Caenorhabditis elegans: one gene and its partners. The protein of the gene in region 1 interacts with the protein of each later gene in a pairwise test. Each region holds a gene or a part of one and is shown in the gene's direction. Other genes may lie near its edges.

The links. The genes of interacting proteins can lie anywhere in the genome.
Region 2: the proteins of mrt-2 (region 1) and ztf-8 interact in a two-hybrid assay, tested with the Caenorhabditis elegans proteins (2 studies listed by BioGRID).
Region 3: the proteins of mrt-2 (region 1) and crt-1 interact in a two-hybrid assay, tested with the Caenorhabditis elegans proteins (2 studies listed by BioGRID).

Annotation. Positions count from the first base shown.
Region 1 is NC_003281.10:11,745,014-11,750,692, forward strand, and holds mrt-2 (Cell cycle checkpoint protein RAD1 homolog mrt-2), read left to right. Parts: upstream 1-1,752; 5' UTR 1,753-1,949; intron 1,950-2,030; 5' UTR 2,031-2,035; coding exon 2,036-2,134; intron 2,135-2,205; coding exon 2,206-2,361; intron 2,362-2,420; coding exon 2,421-2,561; intron 2,562-2,609; coding exon 2,610-2,690; intron 2,691-3,872; coding exon 3,873-3,962; intron 3,963-4,108; coding exon 4,109-4,228; intron 4,229-4,846; coding exon 4,847-4,963; 3' UTR 4,964-5,162; downstream 5,163-5,679. UniProt on the Caenorhabditis elegans protein: May be a component of the 9-1-1 cell-cycle checkpoint response complex that plays a major role in DNA repair. Promotes DNA double strand break-induced cell cycle arrest and apoptosis, thereby playing a role in genome stability.
Region 2 is NC_003281.10:5,268,231-5,275,098, reverse strand, and holds ztf-8 (C2H2-type domain-containing protein), read left to right. Parts: upstream 1-1,627; 5' UTR 1,628-1,629; coding exon 1,630-1,709; intron 1,710-1,759; coding exon 1,760-1,859; intron 1,860-1,907; coding exon 1,908-2,194; intron 2,195-2,270; coding exon 2,271-2,578; intron 2,579-2,625; coding exon 2,626-2,708; intron 2,709-3,097; coding exon 3,098-3,298; intron 3,299-3,365; coding exon 3,366-3,509; intron 3,510-3,553; coding exon 3,554-3,628; intron 3,629-3,737; coding exon 3,738-4,054; intron 4,055-4,063; exon of another isoform or gene 4,064-4,087; coding exon of another isoform or gene 4,088-4,174; intron 4,175-4,225; coding exon of another isoform or gene 4,226-4,340; intron 4,341-4,383; coding exon of another isoform or gene 4,384-4,517; intron 4,518-4,664; coding exon of another isoform or gene 4,665-4,838; exon of another isoform or gene 4,839-4,860; intron 4,861-4,919; exon of another isoform or gene 4,920-4,973; intron 4,974-5,167; coding exon 5,168-5,332; intron 5,333-5,796; coding exon 5,797-6,100; 3' UTR 6,101-6,344; downstream 6,345-6,868. Other genes in the region: Co-chaperone protein daf-41, read left to right, coding at 343-461, 596-945, 1,052-1,110; ZC395.4 (uncharacterized protein), read right to left, coding at 4,088-4,174, 4,226-4,340, 4,384-4,517, 4,665-4,838; ZC395.5 (Ovule protein), read right to left, coding at 6,604-6,749.
Region 3 is NC_003283.11:6,098,468-6,102,558, reverse strand, and holds crt-1 (Calreticulin), read left to right. Parts: upstream 1-2,016; 5' UTR 2,017-2,049; coding exon 2,050-2,370; intron 2,371-2,465; coding exon 2,466-3,089; intron 3,090-3,144; coding exon 3,145-3,387; 3' UTR 3,388-3,567; downstream 3,568-4,091. Other genes in the region: Y38A10A.11 (DNA-directed DNA polymerase), read left to right, coding at 72-163, 447-552, 596-655; smut-1 (Synthetic MUTator), read right to left, coding at 3,668-3,895, 3,978-4,091. UniProt on the Caenorhabditis elegans protein: Molecular calcium-binding chaperone promoting folding, oligomeric assembly and quality control in the endoplasmic reticulum (ER) via the calreticulin/calnexin cycle.

The DNA of each region.
Region 1 (5,679 bases):
AATTCCAGAAAAAATGTCTGAACCTACTGTAGTTCACAATTTAAAGGCGCATACCAAAAAATTATAGCGGGAATTAAATTTTTATTTAATAATTTTTTCAGTTACAGAGCAATTAAAAAATTCAATTTCATCAAAATTTTATAGACCAATTTTCTCGCTTTATAGCTGAGCTCCGCGAGCCAAAATAGGAAGGGGAGCACGAAAAAAAAACAGAAAAATGAGCTCGACAGAGCCCATAGCCTCAAGCGCTAACGAACCAAAAAATGCACACACACACAGGAGGCGGAGTCGTGGAAATTTCGAAAAAAAAAACAAGATTTTCTTCTCTCTCGGCTCAAATTTGAATGCGGAGCAAGAATATTACGGGAACAAAAAATTCTGAGAATGCGTACTGCACAACATATTTGACGCGCAAAATATCTCGTTGCGAAAAGCAAACTACAGTGATTCTTTAAATGACATTTGTAGTGTCGATTTACGGGATCTCGATTTTCGAAATGAATTCATTTATCATTGATCGAGCCCGTAAATCGACACACGCACTACAGTAGTAATTTAAAGGGTTACTGTAGTTTTGTTTTCGCTACGAGATATTTTGTGCGTCAAATATGTTGCCCAATACGCATTCTCAGGATTTTTTGTTAGCGTAATAAAATAACAGAAAACACAGAAAAAGGCATGAAATTTAATTTGAAATACCGCGCTGAGTTTTCTAGGCCACGTGTCGTGTACTCCCCGTGGACAAGCGGTTTTTGCCTTATTTTTCTGAAGTACAAATTCTCAAGTACAAGTAAAAAAGTACAAATTTTACCAAATTTGAGGAAAAGAACTAGCATGACAAAAATAGAATTAGAAAAATTCTAGAGAAAAACTACGGATTTCTGGCTTCCCTCATAAAATGAAATGGAAGAGTTTGCCGAACTAGGCCATTTTGGCTCAGCCATATCTGGAGTAGATTTACGGCGCGTTCCGTGTCGCGGCTCGATTTTAGTTGTAAAACTAAATGAATTTGTCCGTGTGGAGTACACGACTTTACCACGCGTTGTCCGGCAGGCGATTGTCAATGGAGCGCGAAAAATTCAATGCACCAGATTTGACGCGCAAAATTTGAATTTTCAAGTTGTAAATCCCTTTTTTCTTCCCATTGTCCCATCAAATATCCTTCTTCAAAAAAACCCCTGCGTCTCTCAGGCCATATCTGCGGTAGATTTACGGCGCGTTGCGTGTCGCGTCGCGGCTCGATTTTAGTTGTCTGGCGGGCGATTATCAATGAAGCGCGAATAAATCAATGAGGAAGGCCAGAACCCCGTGAAGATCCAAGAAAAGTTTTCTAGGCCACGTTCCGTGTACTCCACGTGGAAAATGTCCTTTCCGGCAGGAGATTGTCAATGGAGCGCGAAAAATTCAATGCACCAGATTTGACCACGCGTCGTGTACTCCACGTGGAAAATGTGGACACTAGGGATCTACTAAATGCCTGGAAAATCGTAAAAATCTCGAAACTTCCTAAAGAAAAAAAAAGCAAATACACAAAAACGCATTGATGTATGAACAAATTGCCCTCCCCGTCTCCCACCAAAAACTCCCAAAAATTGCTCTTTTTTCATGTTTATATGGGGGACCGCGGGATTTCATAATAGCTCCGTGGTCCGCTCAGCTCATCCGGAGCCAAAAAGAGCACACACACACACGCACACATAAAAGTTGTAAACTAGTTTCGAGCAAAAATGATACGACGGATGAGTGTGTCACGCAATCAGTGAGCTTCTCTCGCTTTCGAAAGAAAAATCTTTTTCGCAAAAAGAAAAAGTACTTTACACTGGCCACAGTGTAAAATAAGGGTGAAAAGATCGAAAATCGGAGGTTTCAAATTTGAATTTCCGCGCAAATGAGAGGGACGAGGTGCGATGGCCTACAAAACTCCGCAGGTGTACTCCTCTCGGAAAACGGTGCGAGAATTAATTTTTTAATTTATATTTAATTTTCAGCGATTTTTCTCAGTTTTCCGGTTAAAATTTAAATTTTTTCAGGAAAAATGATGGAATTAGAAACGGGTCAATGCACAATTATGGAATTGAAAAAAGAAAATGTGAAGGAGCTCGCGCAGGTCTTCAAAACCGTCGCTTTTAAGGATGTTAGTGTTGGAAAATATCGATATTAATTTCATTTTTTTTGAGAAAAAATCTAAATTTTTCAATTTTCCAGACAGGAACGTGGCACGCTTCCGAGGCGGGCATGAAGATCACAGTCGACGATGGATCCTATCAGCTGGCCAGCGTTTTTATCAATCCGGCGTTCTTCTCGAGTTTTAAAGTTCGCGAGGAGATAGTTTCGATGAAAATCTCGATTAAATCGATTTCTGTGAGCCTTTAAAAGCCCATAAAAGCCCAAAAAAGTGGCAAAAAACAAAAAAATTCCAGGAATTCCTGAGCATTTCGGAAAACTCGTCGAGTTCTGTAAAAGTCTCGTATCCGGGAATGTTTCAGCCTGTGAAAATGCTTGTTGAAGACGCAGACGGATGGGTGGCACGTGGCAATTTTACAACAACGCTGGCAGATCAAGTTCGCCGGGTTTTCGAAATTCCTAGATTTTTTTTTGTCTATTTTTAGGAGCTCGACTTTGAATTCGATGACGCTGGTGTGCTGGCGACCTATCTGCTTAAAACTCAAGTTCTCAAGGAGATTATCAAGGTTTTATCATTGAAACCTTTAAACATTCGAAAAAAATTTATTAAACTCCAGACATTTTCCAAAAAAAATTTTTTTTTTTGGATTTTCGAAAAAAATGTTTTTTTTTTGAAATTAAATAAAAAACTTTTTTTTTTACTTTTTTAGTGAAAAAACAAAAAAAATCGGTTTCCCTTCAGAAAAATCGGTGTTTTTCGGTTTTTTTCATATTTTAAAACATTTTCTGAATTTTTTTTTTGACTTTTTGGAAAAAAATTTTTTTTTGGATTTTTTCAAAATGAAATAAAAAACTACTCGAATGTCGCAAAAACAAAAAAATTTCTTTTTGTTCTGACAGATTAACATTTTTTGGTTTTTTTCGACTCCAAAAAAAAATTTCTGAAAAAATTAGCTTTTTTGAAAAAAAAACCATTTTTTTTTAAATTTTTTAGTCGAAAAACGAAAAAAAAAATCGGTTTCCCTTCAGAAAATTATTGTTTTTGGGTTTTTTCCCACATTTTAAAACATTTTCTGAAAAAAAACTTTTTTTCGACTTTTTTGAAAAAAAATTTTTCGGTTTTTCCGATTTTCTAATTTTTCAACAAAAAAAGACGAAAAAAACCAGAAAATTCCGAATTTTAGAGCCAAAAACGAACATTTTCCGTTTTTCAATTTTGAAAAAAAAAACGTTTTATTTTTATTTTTCGATACTTTTTTGTCGAAAAACGAAAAAAAATGTTTTCCGTTCAGAAAAATCGGTGTTTTTTGGTCTGTTTTTCATATTTTAAAACATTTTCTGAAAAAAATTTTTTTTTCGAATTTTTCATTACTTTTCAAAAAAAAAATCCGTTTTTGATTGAAAAAACCTTGATATTTTTCCGATTTTCTAATTTTTCAAAATTAAAAAAAACCAAAAAAAAAATCCGAAAATTCCGACTTTTTGAGCTAAAAACGAAAATTTTCCGTTTTCAATTTTGGAAAAAAAATTTTACTTGAAAATTCGATTTTCGCTTAAAAAGTAGTTTTTATTGTTTCAATTTTTCGAAAATAAAAAAAAATCGATTAAATTGCAGAATTTCCAACCCAAACCCAAAAAAATCGACGTCCAATACTTATGATTTGACGCGCAAATTCTAAAATTCAAATAAAAATTCTTATTTTTGCATTAAAAAAATACGAATTTTTAATTTTTTTTCTCTATTTCAGGACTTCGATGACACAAGCCGAACGGTGAGAATTCAATTCACCAAGAATTCACTGTGTTTCACGACTTTCGGTGATGTTGGCGAGACTACAGTAGGATTTTTCAAATTGAAAATTAAATAAATTTTAGGAAATTAAAAAGAAAAAAATTTTAATTTTTTAACTCAAAAAAAAAAAAAAAAAATTGTTTTGAAAAAATATTTTTTAAAAAATTAAAACCAAATTTTTTATACTTTCAGGTATCAATACCGTCTCGAAGCCTTCAAATGGAAAGTGTAAAGTGCCTTGAAGAAGTTGAATTTAGCTATCTTCTGTCGCTTATTCAACGAATGACTACCGCCTTTATACTGGCTACAAAGGTAGTTTCTGGAAAGAAATTTAGCCTATCTGCTAGATTTTTCCTAGTTAAAGTTATCATGGTTCCAGGAAAAATTCATTAAAAATATGAAAAAATTGGGGGAAAAAAAAAATTTTTTTCGAAATTTTTTGAAAAAAATCTGAAAAAATTTGTGAAAATTATTTTCACTATAATTTTTAATTTAAAAAATTGAGCCGATTTTTTTAGAAAAATAAATTTATTTGTGAAAAAATTAATTTTCCTTTCGAAAAATATTTCGATTTTTGAAAATTTTTTTAAATTTGAAAAAAAAAATTTTCATTTTTTTTTCAAAAACAGAAAAAAATTTCGAAAAAAATAAATAAAATGTCTAAAGCATTTTTAACGATTTTTCCAATTTTGCAACAAAAAATATCAACATTTTTCCGTTTTTTTCCCCGAAAAAAAACCCCAAAAACTCCAAAATTGGCCAAAAAAATCGAAAAATAAATTAAAACGTTATGCTCCAAATCAAATTTTAGTTTCAAAAATCGAGAAAAAATTAGAAAAAATGTTTTTCTTCGAAATTTTTTTTTCAATTTTCTAAAAAAAAATGTCTCGAATTTTTTGATGCAAACTTTACAATTTAAGTTTTTTCCAGCTCATCCTCCGTGTCGACGAGCGTGGCGTCCTCTCCTGTCAATTTTCAATCGATCACGGCGAGGGAAACGCAAGCTACATTGAATTTCTGACGGTGCCCGCTGATGAAGAAGAATAAAATATTATATACATTTTTAATTTTTTTTTAATGTTCGATCCCCGAGTTTTGCAACAAGTGTACCCTCATCTCCCGGGTATAAAAACCCGAAAAACTGCACCGAAACGCACGCAAAAAAAATTAATATTTTCTTCTTTTTCGTGCTTCTTGCAATTCTCGCTGTTGATTTAAATTTTCAAATAAATATTGATTTTTATTACGAATATTGCATTTTGAAATGAGAAAAATTTTTAAAAATTGGGTTTTTTTTCAGTGAGTGTCTCGTCGAATAAAATGCTCGGTACGTAGTACACCGTCACGTCAAAATACACAGAATCGTGGATTTTTTTCAAAAAAAAAACAAGGATTTCTGGCTTCCCTCATAAATTGAAATGGAAGAGTTTTTGCCGAACTAAGCCATTTTGGCTCAGCCATATCTGGGGTAGATTTACGGCGCGTTGCGTGTCGCGTCGCGGCTCGATAGTAAAACTAAATGTATTTATCCGTGTGGAGTACACGACACTTTCCCATGCGTTGCCCGTCGGGCGATTGTCAATGGAGCGCAAAAAATGCAATGAGGAAGGCCAGAACCCCCTGAAAAATCGATGTGTTTTTAGGATTTCTTCAAATTCTAATTAATTTTTAGAGTTTTTTGCCGGCAATATTATGTGGAAAATGAATGCAAAACTTCTTGTAGCCCTAAAAATCCCCAAGTTTGTGTATTTTTAAAGAAAATT
Region 2 (6,868 bases), 6.5 Mb from region 1:
TTTTCCTGAAGAACATTCGCGACTTTATATTTCTAATCCATTTACGTTTATATTCAATGCCATTCGCACTTAAAATATATCGATTTTGGCCAATAGTCCTTGTATTTAGGAGAAAAAGGTTGTAAGAGAAAAATCAATCGAAAAAAGAAATTAAGTGGACAATTCTTGCTTGTTATTGCCGTGATATGAAAACATTTTCATCTGATGGCTTTATTTTCGTCAATTTGCATAATCATGCTAATTTCAACTGTGCGCTTATTTATATGTCGTGCACCTTCCTTGAATTTTATTGATTATTGTTCGTATCCGTCTAGTTCTCTTTTCGAATTACAGGCAAAAACCATGGCTAAGCAACCAACAGTTCTCTGGGCCCAGCGTGAATCACTTGTCTATCTGACCATCGAGGTTGATGAGGCGAAAATCGAGGAACTGAAAGGAGAGGGAAACAAGCTTCACTTCCAGTACGTTTCGGATTAATATTTCGATTTCTATTTTAAATGTTTAAATACGATATGAAGCATATTTCTTGCTTCCTAAATATTCACAGAATGTTCATGATGGTACATAGAATGAGTCGTAATTCGTAAATTTTCAGAGGAAGCAGCAAAACTGACAAGTACGAAGCAACTCTCGAATTCTTCGACGAAATCGATCCTGCATCCGTAAAGCACACTGGATCTTCAACCCGCGTCGTTGAGATCACAGTTCAGAAGAAGACCCCAGCCTGGTGGCCAAGACTTCTTCAAAACAAGGGAAAGGTCCATTGGTTGAAGGTTGACTTTGGAAAATGGAAGGATGAAGACGAGGATGATGAGGCTGAGGATGCCGGAGCCGGAATTGGCGGTGGAATGGCGAACGGATTCGATTTGAACCAGTACATGTCCCAGATGGGAGGAGCTGGCGGAGCAGACTTCGGAGGTCTTGAGGATGATGAGGAAGATGACGGTAAGTATTAAGTGCAATAATATCCTTTTTGCTTACTATTAGTAATTCGTTAATGATAGAAAACCAATGTAGTATTAAAATGTTATTTATTATAAAAAATTTTCAGATATGCCAGATCTCGAAGACAACGAAGAGGAGGAAGGAAAGAACGGAACGAGAGCTTAAGCAACTCCTCAAGTCCCAATTGTTTCATTAAAAATACAATTTGAATTTCTCTAATTTAATTCTTTATTCATTTTTCTCTATCCCGATTATTCCTCTTCCAGTTTGTGAACGCTTCACGTATCTCAGTCACAGAGTTTCATTTATTGTTTCCACTTTAAATATTTATTGAGTAAAGTGATATCACACCCATCTTCTTGCAGTGAACTTGTGAATTCTGACGGCTTAATTTTTATCCCGCATTCGTTTTTCTAATCAGTTTCCATGGGCAAGAACACAATTGGTAAGGCTCTGGTAATACTTTTCTAAAGTTGTTACTTTTTTTAAAATGTGAGCATACAAGGTATTTAATTTTGTCTTCTTTGTGGATCCACATGGAGAAAAAACTCCTGAAGACATAAATTTTACTCATTCAAGCTGGATAATATCATTCAAATCATATCATTCAAGTTAATACGCTTTTTCCGATCAATCATCTGAATCACAGCCAGAGATTAAATTATGAAATCGTATTTTTAAGATATGAACCAATTAGTGTGTCCATTGTGCTGCGAAACGCTGAAAGAGGAAGGCGCACACTTCTACAAACATTTTAAGTACAAGTGAGGATTTTAAATGTTATTTCTATTATTAAATTCATATATAATTTTAGGAGATATGCATGCGGAGAGAGCACATGTGATATGGGATTCTACACACAACAGGAGCTCAATGCTCATTGCTCGAAACACGGACACAAGCGCTCTTTTCAGGTTTTGAGACGATTTTCTACAATTAAAAATATTGTTTTTTTTCTTCAGAAGACAGTAAACCCATACATTGACAAAATGATATCGGTTGTTGTGGAAGACGCATACGCCCTAGCGACTGACGATATGGAAACTGTGCTTGAGAAGCGATGGGGAAGAGATCCGAGATCAGTGTCACCGACTTCACCTGTTAAAAAGACTCCTACTGATAGTGCAAAGAATAAAAGAAGTTCCGTCGTAACTCCAACATCTCCTCCAGTGCCAAAAAAGGCAAAATCGGGAACTTCTACGACTTCACCATTTGCATTTTTAAATAGAAGAACAAATAATTCTGAGAGGTATTTATTCACTAAATACAATTTTAACAATGCCTAGATTCCGACAAAGCCCTCGTTTTAAAAATGATATATTCAGCTCACTCTGCCCCAACGCCTCCTCAACATCAGCTCAGCCAGCTTCATCAAGTTCAGCTCAAGCTATAGTTGATTCAACAACCAGTGAACATAATATATCTATTGATAAAACAAAGAAACCGAGGAAGAAAAGAAACGAGTCAATGACAGCAGCTCAAAATCAAGAGAAAGCTGGAAAAAATGCAAATTACGATGAAATGTCAGCGATTGATAAACTAATTGGATGGTTTGATCCAAATGTTCCAGAGAGACGAGATGCTGCAAAAGTGAAATGTGCGGTTTGTAATGAAGAAATAGTTTATGATTTTAGTGAGTTTTTGAAATCTCTAAATTCGAATTTAGTTTTTATCTTACAGTTCTCCGAAAAGGACACGTGACTCGTTCCCACATGGCAGCTGATGTAGCACCAGAAGATTATGATGATTTGCTGAAAACTGCGGTATGTACAGGAAAACAAATTAAATTGAGAACAAGGCTGTGCAGCAAATCTACAAAAACAAATTTAAAAAAGGAATATGATATTTCATTTTGAGGCAAATCTGAATTCGAGAAGGAAAAAAAAAGAATTATTCTTATTTTTTTCGAAACAAAAAACGAAAAATCTACAGCCCTGACGGTGACTTTCCTGCACTTTTTGAGATAATTTTCGAGTTTTTTTCTCAAAAATAAATATCATATTCAGATCGAATGAACATTTCCCCCACACTGTTATATTAATTTTTAATTTGAATTAATTGATTATCATACTGAAATTATAAGTTTTGACCCTGTATCTACATTTATCCTAACTAGGTTGCAGTTTTTAAATTAAGAAAAAATGAGTTTCAGATGGATCGATCGTATCCAGATCTCCCAAATTCGGATCTTGCTTGTCAACTTTGCATGACTGGTGCTGAAGTTCGAAAAAATATGCGCCGAGAGCATATCGAGAAGCTGCACACGACGAGTCTTCCACCGCTAACATGTCCAGTTGGAGAATGTGAAAAAGGATTCAGAAGACAGTGTGATTTGAGTTCTCATATGAAAGATGTATAGTTTTATTTATTTAATTTATAATAAAGCTAGGAAATTGACAAAAAAAATCAAAGAATTCCAGACACACAAAGCGAGCATGGCAGTGTACAAAAATGCAACATTTCAACAAGTTCGTCGCCGTCGAAATGCTATGATAAACGAGATGATCAATAAATGCTTTCCGTGGTCTCGATTAGAAGCAATTGAGAATAAGACTGTAGTTGGGGTTTGTTGAATTATTAAAGTTTTCTGGGTAATTATGAGATTCAGGAGAAGTCGGATTCTGTTAACCGCGCTCCTGTCGATCGCTCGTTTGACACAGATGTTCGAGTGAGAGACGTTAACGTAAGTTTTTAGAAAAATTATCTACGGGAGTCATCACGACCAAGAGTGACATCCAAATTTTTTTTTAATTGAAATTTAATTTTTCAATTCTTACAAAACACATTTTCAGAAAACTCGCCGTGCTCCTCAATACAATGCGAACCGATCTTCGTCGTCCGATTCTGATTCAGAACATGAAGAAGCAGCGTCGGTGGCTACGGGAGAAGTTTCCGAAACTGGTGGAACCGATGATTTCCCGCAAGACGTCATATACATATGTCATCAATTCAATACGGAAGTTGCTCAAAAACTGTCGCAGATCGTCAGAATAAAGCCAGAGATCATTGATGTGGAAGACGTGCTTATGAATGATGTTACAATGGAAATAAATGAGATTCCAGTTAAAGAAGAAACAGAGGAAGAGCAACCGAAAGAGGAAAATAACAGGTAAAAATTGCATAGATTAAGCTTTATTCGTTTTTAAGTAGTTTTCTCGCTGCTTCCTGCAATCTTCTTTTCATCAACAGACAATTGTTGCGTTATCTCAAGTTTTCGAGTTTCCGTAGCCTGGGAAAATAAGAAAATATTTAGATTAGTCTAAAAATAAATACTCCTCACCTCTTTAGAGTTGCCCTTCAGTATTGCTTTCTCGAATTTCGGAAAATCGTCATCCAGCGTCACATACTCGGGATCTTTGCTTTCCTTCATTCCGGTCACAGTGCGTTTCGCGTCACTGTAATGAGAATGATTGGGAAATTAGTTATTATTGTGCTTACAGTTTTCTTGGTGGAGCTACAGATGGTCCATGTGACATTTCTGAAGCTTTTTCGGCAATCTTCTTGAGTTGAGACACCGCCTCGTTGTGTTCATCCTTTGCATCACGATCACTTTGCCTTGGTCCCTTGCTCTTCTGAAAAAAGTCATTTTCCAATAATAAATGCCTGAAAACTCTTGAGAATTGGCGAAACTAACTGAATTTTTTTTTAAATTTACGGTTTCGCCGCCAAACACCACTTTTATCTGCGCCCTTCTAATAATATTTCCATCCCTCTCTTACCTCCTTGGACGGAACTTTTGCCATTTTGCTTGCTCCCTTCTCTCCCGATTGAGCTGTTGTCGAATGTGAAATTGACTTCATTTCGGGATTAACACTTCCACCAGTACCAGGAGTCGATAGATTCTTCTTCGCCGATTTCATTTTCTTCTTCTGCTTACACTTTGTGACACACATTTTTGAACTACTACACACGTGCCTGGAAGTGTGCGGAAATTGTTCTTCAACGGAAACGATAGACGAAAAAAATAAACTCACTATTACAGTTCGATTTATTGAAAAATGATAATCGAACAGATGAGTGAAATGATTAAAAATAAGAACTGATGAAATTGAACCTTTTTGAATATTTCGTTTTGATGTTTTTTTCTTACGTAAATAGTTTAGATTAATATTTTTCTCCCGTAAGGTTACATATTAATTCCTTTTGAAAGTTTTTTGAAATTTTTTGAAAATTGCCCGTTTTTGGAAAGATTCAGTACTCCATATTATTTTATTATTTTCAGTACTCTACCATCAATTCCAATTCCATCAATCTTCTCACCATATGAGCCAATTGTTCCACCACCAGCTACATCTCCAGATCCAATGAATCCGCCAATTGCATCACTGCTTCCAACTCGAATTCTCAGTGCGACAAACGTTTTGGAGAATAAATATAATGAAAATGTGTGAGTTTTTACGAAATATCTGAAAATTAAAAAAAAACAACTTTTGATGTTTCCTATCAATTTTGCAAAATTAAAAAAAGATGGGCTAATTATTTTCAAATTCTCGCGTTAATGAATTGCCTAGTTTAACGTTTTCAGCTCGTTTTCCGCGAAAAAATTATTTATAACGGTGAAACTGTTTTTAAGTCAGTTTTGAAGTTTTAGTGAATTTATTTTGGCCTAAAAATTGAAAAACTCATCTTCATATTAAATATTTTTTATACTGAAAAACATTTGTTCAGCCAGGGAATTTAAAAATAATTAGCCCATCTTTAATTTAATTTAATTTTCATTTATATTTATTACGATAGTAAGATATGGAAAAAAAATCATTAAAAAATTATAAACGTTTTAATTTTTAAGCAGTTAAATTCAAAATCAGATCAGTTTTAACCATCATTACAATATATAATTTCTAATTTCAGTAGCTCAAGAAGATCGACATCACGTGAACGTTCTTCCAACAGAAACTACGATGAAAGATGGTCTCGAAATGACTACAGTAACCCTCGTAACTACAGCAATCGTTCATTCCATCAACGAAACCAACGGGGACATTCATCATCGAATCGTTTCAATTCTCCATTTGTTAGTCGAAATAACTACAACAACAATTCTGAAACAACTGAAGGATCTTCTCGTCGTTCCGAATATAATTCTTCGTCTTCCAATCATCATTCCCGTTCGTCATATCGTGGCAATCGAGATGATCGAGGCTCTCGATGGTAAAGCCGCCATCAATATTATATATGCATTTTCCTTCTAAAACCGTTCAATCTTCAAATATTTCCCTTAACCTTCCAGTATTCCAAATCAGCTTGTGCGAAATTTTAAGAAAATTTCTCGAAAAATCTAAATCTCCTTCGCTTTCAAACATCAAATTTAGTTTCTGTGTGTTAGTATATCCTAGCGTTTCATATCTAAGATAACAATTCTCAATTATCTCTTTTTAGTTAGCAATAAAATAATGCCATTGTTGTTTGACTTTAATTGTTGAATCTCTCGTTCTGTTTAAACGAATATTCCATGTGTGTTGTGTTTTATAATATTTTATTGCTTCTATCGTTCTCCAAAGTCTCGATTCAAAAATCCATGTTTCTAAATACGGAAGTGAAACTAAAACTGTTAAATCTAAAATTTTCGAATCAATATAAGTACATTTATTTACAGAAACAAAAAATTACAATTTCAACATATAAAATTACAAAAATCAACAAGAAAACGATATAATTTTAATACATTTCTTTTTCAAATGGATCATCAATCTTGACACTAAAATCCATTGATCGGTTCAAAAAATCGCGGAATTGTTCGATTAAACTGTCACGGCGACGACTTCCGATAGATTCCATGTGACAATCCATTGATGTATCAGATGCTGAAAATTTTTATAATATCAATAACTTTAGAGGGGAAAATTACCTGAAATATATTACCGAGACGCAAAACCTTACGATTTTTACACCAAACTAAGGCGTCCGGTCTCGAAACGACAAA
Region 3 (4,091 bases), on another chromosome or scaffold:
GAAAATGTGCAGGCGGGGAGATCAAAATCGAAACTGTATTTGTGTGGAACAATGCAACTATTGAGAGAAACATGAAGCATATGGACTACGAGTTGAGTAGGCTTCAAAAGTATTCAGGAATCTCAACCAACGAGTTTTGCCCAGAAATTACCAAGAAACCAGTGTAAGTTTCATTTTATTTTTTGGATTTAGTTAGATTTTTTAAATAATCAAAAACCGATTTCTTGCCGATGTCATACTGTAGACACTGTGAGAAGTAGGACTACCTCAATATTGATAAGTGCCTACCTATGTGCCTAGAAGGCAGGTGTGGCTTGCATTGAACTTAACAGTAGACGTAGGTCTCTTGAAGTTTTGCTTCCAGGCAGGCAGGTAGGCATTTGAATAATTTAAAGCTATAGTAAGGAGTACGGTAAATTACAATATCATTTCGTGATAAATTTCAGGCAAGATCGAAATCATTTTGCAATGCTCTACACCTTTCCTTATATTACGTCAACTTGTGATCGTGTCAGACTTTTTGTTCGAAATGCAGTTTCCTGGAGTTCAGAGGTCTAAAAATATTCCTGAAAAAATTATAATTCTAGATGTTCAGGTGAACCGAGCCCGAGTAGCATGCGAATGTGAAAAAATTGTGGAAATGACGCGTGGCTAACGAGGTACTTCTCGTCGCCGATCTTTCTCTTGACCAGGACCGAATAAATATTTGAAAATGCACTTATTGTTTGTTCTCAATGCCGAATTGTTTACAATGTACCTTTTGGTAAAGAGGAACTCGTTTGTACTGGCCAGCTAATAAAATATTCACATTATTCTTCATACTATGTTTTCATATAGAATTTATCAATTTTATAATTTAGATGATAACGAGTGCTGTACTCCTGGAGTCCACCAGGACTTGATAAGAGAATTGAAGCACCACTTTTATAATGAGCAGTACTAATTTCGAATCTGGAAATGATATTTCAGAAACAATCCAGGAAACACCAGAAAAATATCACCACTTTGAAAAATATGTGCATTTATTCAATTATGCTCAAATTTCAGCTTTGGCTCACGAGTGATACGGTCAACCACAATTTTCTCCAGAGTACGCAATTTACGCAAACACCAAACGATGGCGCCAAAGCGCCATTCAAATTTTATTCATCCGTTTCAGCCTTTTTCAGTCTTCTTGTCTCTCATTTTCGCCATTTTCATTGTTTTATTTACACAAACGGTCGTTTAAAATGTAGTTTCCATCTTTTTCCGATGGTTCATCATTTTTGTCATGCGTCTTTTGTGAAACTGGTTTTGCAAAACGAAGCAAAAAATGGATAACTGTGTCAAGGGCGATTTTTCGATTCGTCATGTCCACATAAACGCGATAATGTGTTTTTATCGTTGGTTTCATTCAGAAATTGGTTGATAAATACATTCTACTACATTCTGGCTGTGTGATCCAATTTTTAAATCCGAAAGTCTAGAAATTTAGTGCAAAATAAGCATGGAAAGTTCTAAACCCCTTAAAGAATACTGATCTCAGCTGTTTCTGTTCTTTTCAATCAGATTCCCAATTGCGATAATATCAAAAAGCCCTCTGCTGGACTGCTGTCCACCCGCAAGGGCATTATTTCCTTATCCCAAAATGCTCTCCGTCTGCATCTCTTCAACTCACTCACTCTCTCGCTCTCTTCGCAGTGCGAGGCCGACACGCAACGTGGCCTCTCATCAGACACGCTCCGCCTATTCTCAATGTGTGGCGACCGCCGATTGGCCAGTCGCTGACGTGGACCAATAGATACGCGGCACCTCGAGCCGTGTCAGCCACGCAAGACACACGTCGACTTACTCCATTGTCGTAGCAGACGAGCTCAGTTCAACATCATCAGTTTCAGTTTTGCTCTTGTTCGGTTTCATTTCTAGTCTTTCTTCTCTGAAATTCTCGAATTTTATTCTTTGGTATATTCTCATTCAATTTATCTCTTCTTTTTCCGATTCATATGTTTAATTGTTATATTTACTTTTTAATTTCAGATTCAACTTGGTGTCGTTTTATCGAAAAACGAAATGAAATCACTCTGCCTGTTAGCAATCGTTGCCGTCGTTTCGGCTGAAGTCTACTTCAAAGAGGAGTTCAACGACGCCTCATGGGAGAAGCGATGGGTTCAATCCAAGCACAAGGATGACTTTGGAGCCTTCAAGCTCTCAGCTGGAAAGTTCTTCGATGTTGAGTCCCGCGACCAAGGAATCCAGACCAGCCAAGATGCCAAGTTCTACTCCCGTGCCGCCAAGTTCGACAAGGACTTCTCCAACAAAGGAAAGACTCTTGTGATCCAATACACCGTCAAGCACGAGCAAGGAATCGACTGTGGAGGTGGATACGTTAAGGTTAGTATTTTAAATTTCTTGATGTGATAATTTTTTCGCATTAGTTTGTTAGTATCAAAACATGTTTCTCAATTAAAACAATATTTATTTTCCAGGTCATGAGAGCTGATGCTGACTTGGGAGATTTCCACGGAGAGACCCCATACAACGTCATGTTCGGCCCAGACATCTGCGGACCAACTCGCCGTGTCCACGTTATCCTTAACTACAAGGGAGAGAACAAGCTCATCAAGAAGGAAATCACCTGCAAGAGCGACGAACTCACTCATCTCTACACTCTCATCCTCAACTCCGACAATACCTACGAAGTCAAGATCGACGGAGAAAGCGCCCAAACTGGAAGCCTCGAGGAGGACTGGGATCTTCTTCCAGCCAAGAAGATCAAGGATCCAGATGCAAAGAAGCCAGAGGACTGGGATGAGCGTGAGTACATCGATGATGCCGAGGATGCCAAGCCAGAAGATTGGGAGAAGCCAGAGCACATCCCAGATCCAGATGCCAAGAAGCCAGAAGACTGGGATGACGAGATGGACGGAGAATGGGAGCCACCAATGATCGACAACCCAGAATACAAGGGTGAGTGGAAGCCAAAGCAGATCAAGAACCCAGCCTACAAGGGCAAGTGGATCCATCCAGAGATTGAGAACCCAGAGTACACTCCTGATGATGAACTCTACTCTTATGAAAGCTGGGGAGCCATCGGATTCGATTTGTGGCAGGTAAGAAACTTTTATTCTATTTTTCAAAAATGAAACTCAAACTTTATTTTTTCAGGTCAAGTCAGGAACGATCTTTGACAACATTATCATCACCGACTCTGTTGAGGAGGCCGAGGCCCATGCTGCCGAGACTTTTGACAAATTGAAGACTGTTGAGAAGGAAAAGAAGGAGAAGGCCGACGAAGAAACCCGCAAGGCTGAGGAGGAGGCTCGCAAGAAGGCCGAGGAGGAGAAGGAGGCCAAGAAGGATGATGATGAGGAGGAGAAGGAAGAGGAGGAAGGACACGATGAGCTCTAAGCAAATCGTGCACAGCTTTTCAACTCGCTTCATACAATCGCCCCCACTCCATCACAATTCCCCCGCATTCAAGTCTCTCCTATTCTCTCGGGTTAATTGATTGTTTTATTAATTTATTGAGCATCCATTTTGATGCTGGATAGCCTTTCTTGTTTTATAATAAAAAAATTTTAAAACCTATTTACGAGTTCGATTAGTTCAATGAATATAAAATACAGGATCAGATACATAGAAAAGCGATAAAAACCGGCACAAAATAGGAAATTGATATGTGATTCAATTAAAGTGATTGACGCAACTTCAGCCATTCTACAAGCCAATTGGGAAGCGTTTCCTCGCATTCGAGCATAAAAGAACACAGCTGCTCGATAATATTCGACATTGGTCCGCCAAATAAATGATGCTCATCGATGAGGACAGTAGCTCTTCCACCACATCCATCGCGACCAACTCGTCCGATTCTATGCATGTAGCTCGGAAAATCGGTGGACATTTCCATGATTATTGTCTGAAATATGTGACTTAAGATAAAAAATATTTGGGTCAATAGTAGCCATGTTTTTATCAATTTAATATATATGTAAACTTACCTGTTTCACAGAAGACACATCGATTCCTCTCGACATAATATTGGTACATACAACTCCATGAATGTTGCAAAACTCCAAATCATTCAAAGTGATTGCTTGTTGTTGTTTCAACAC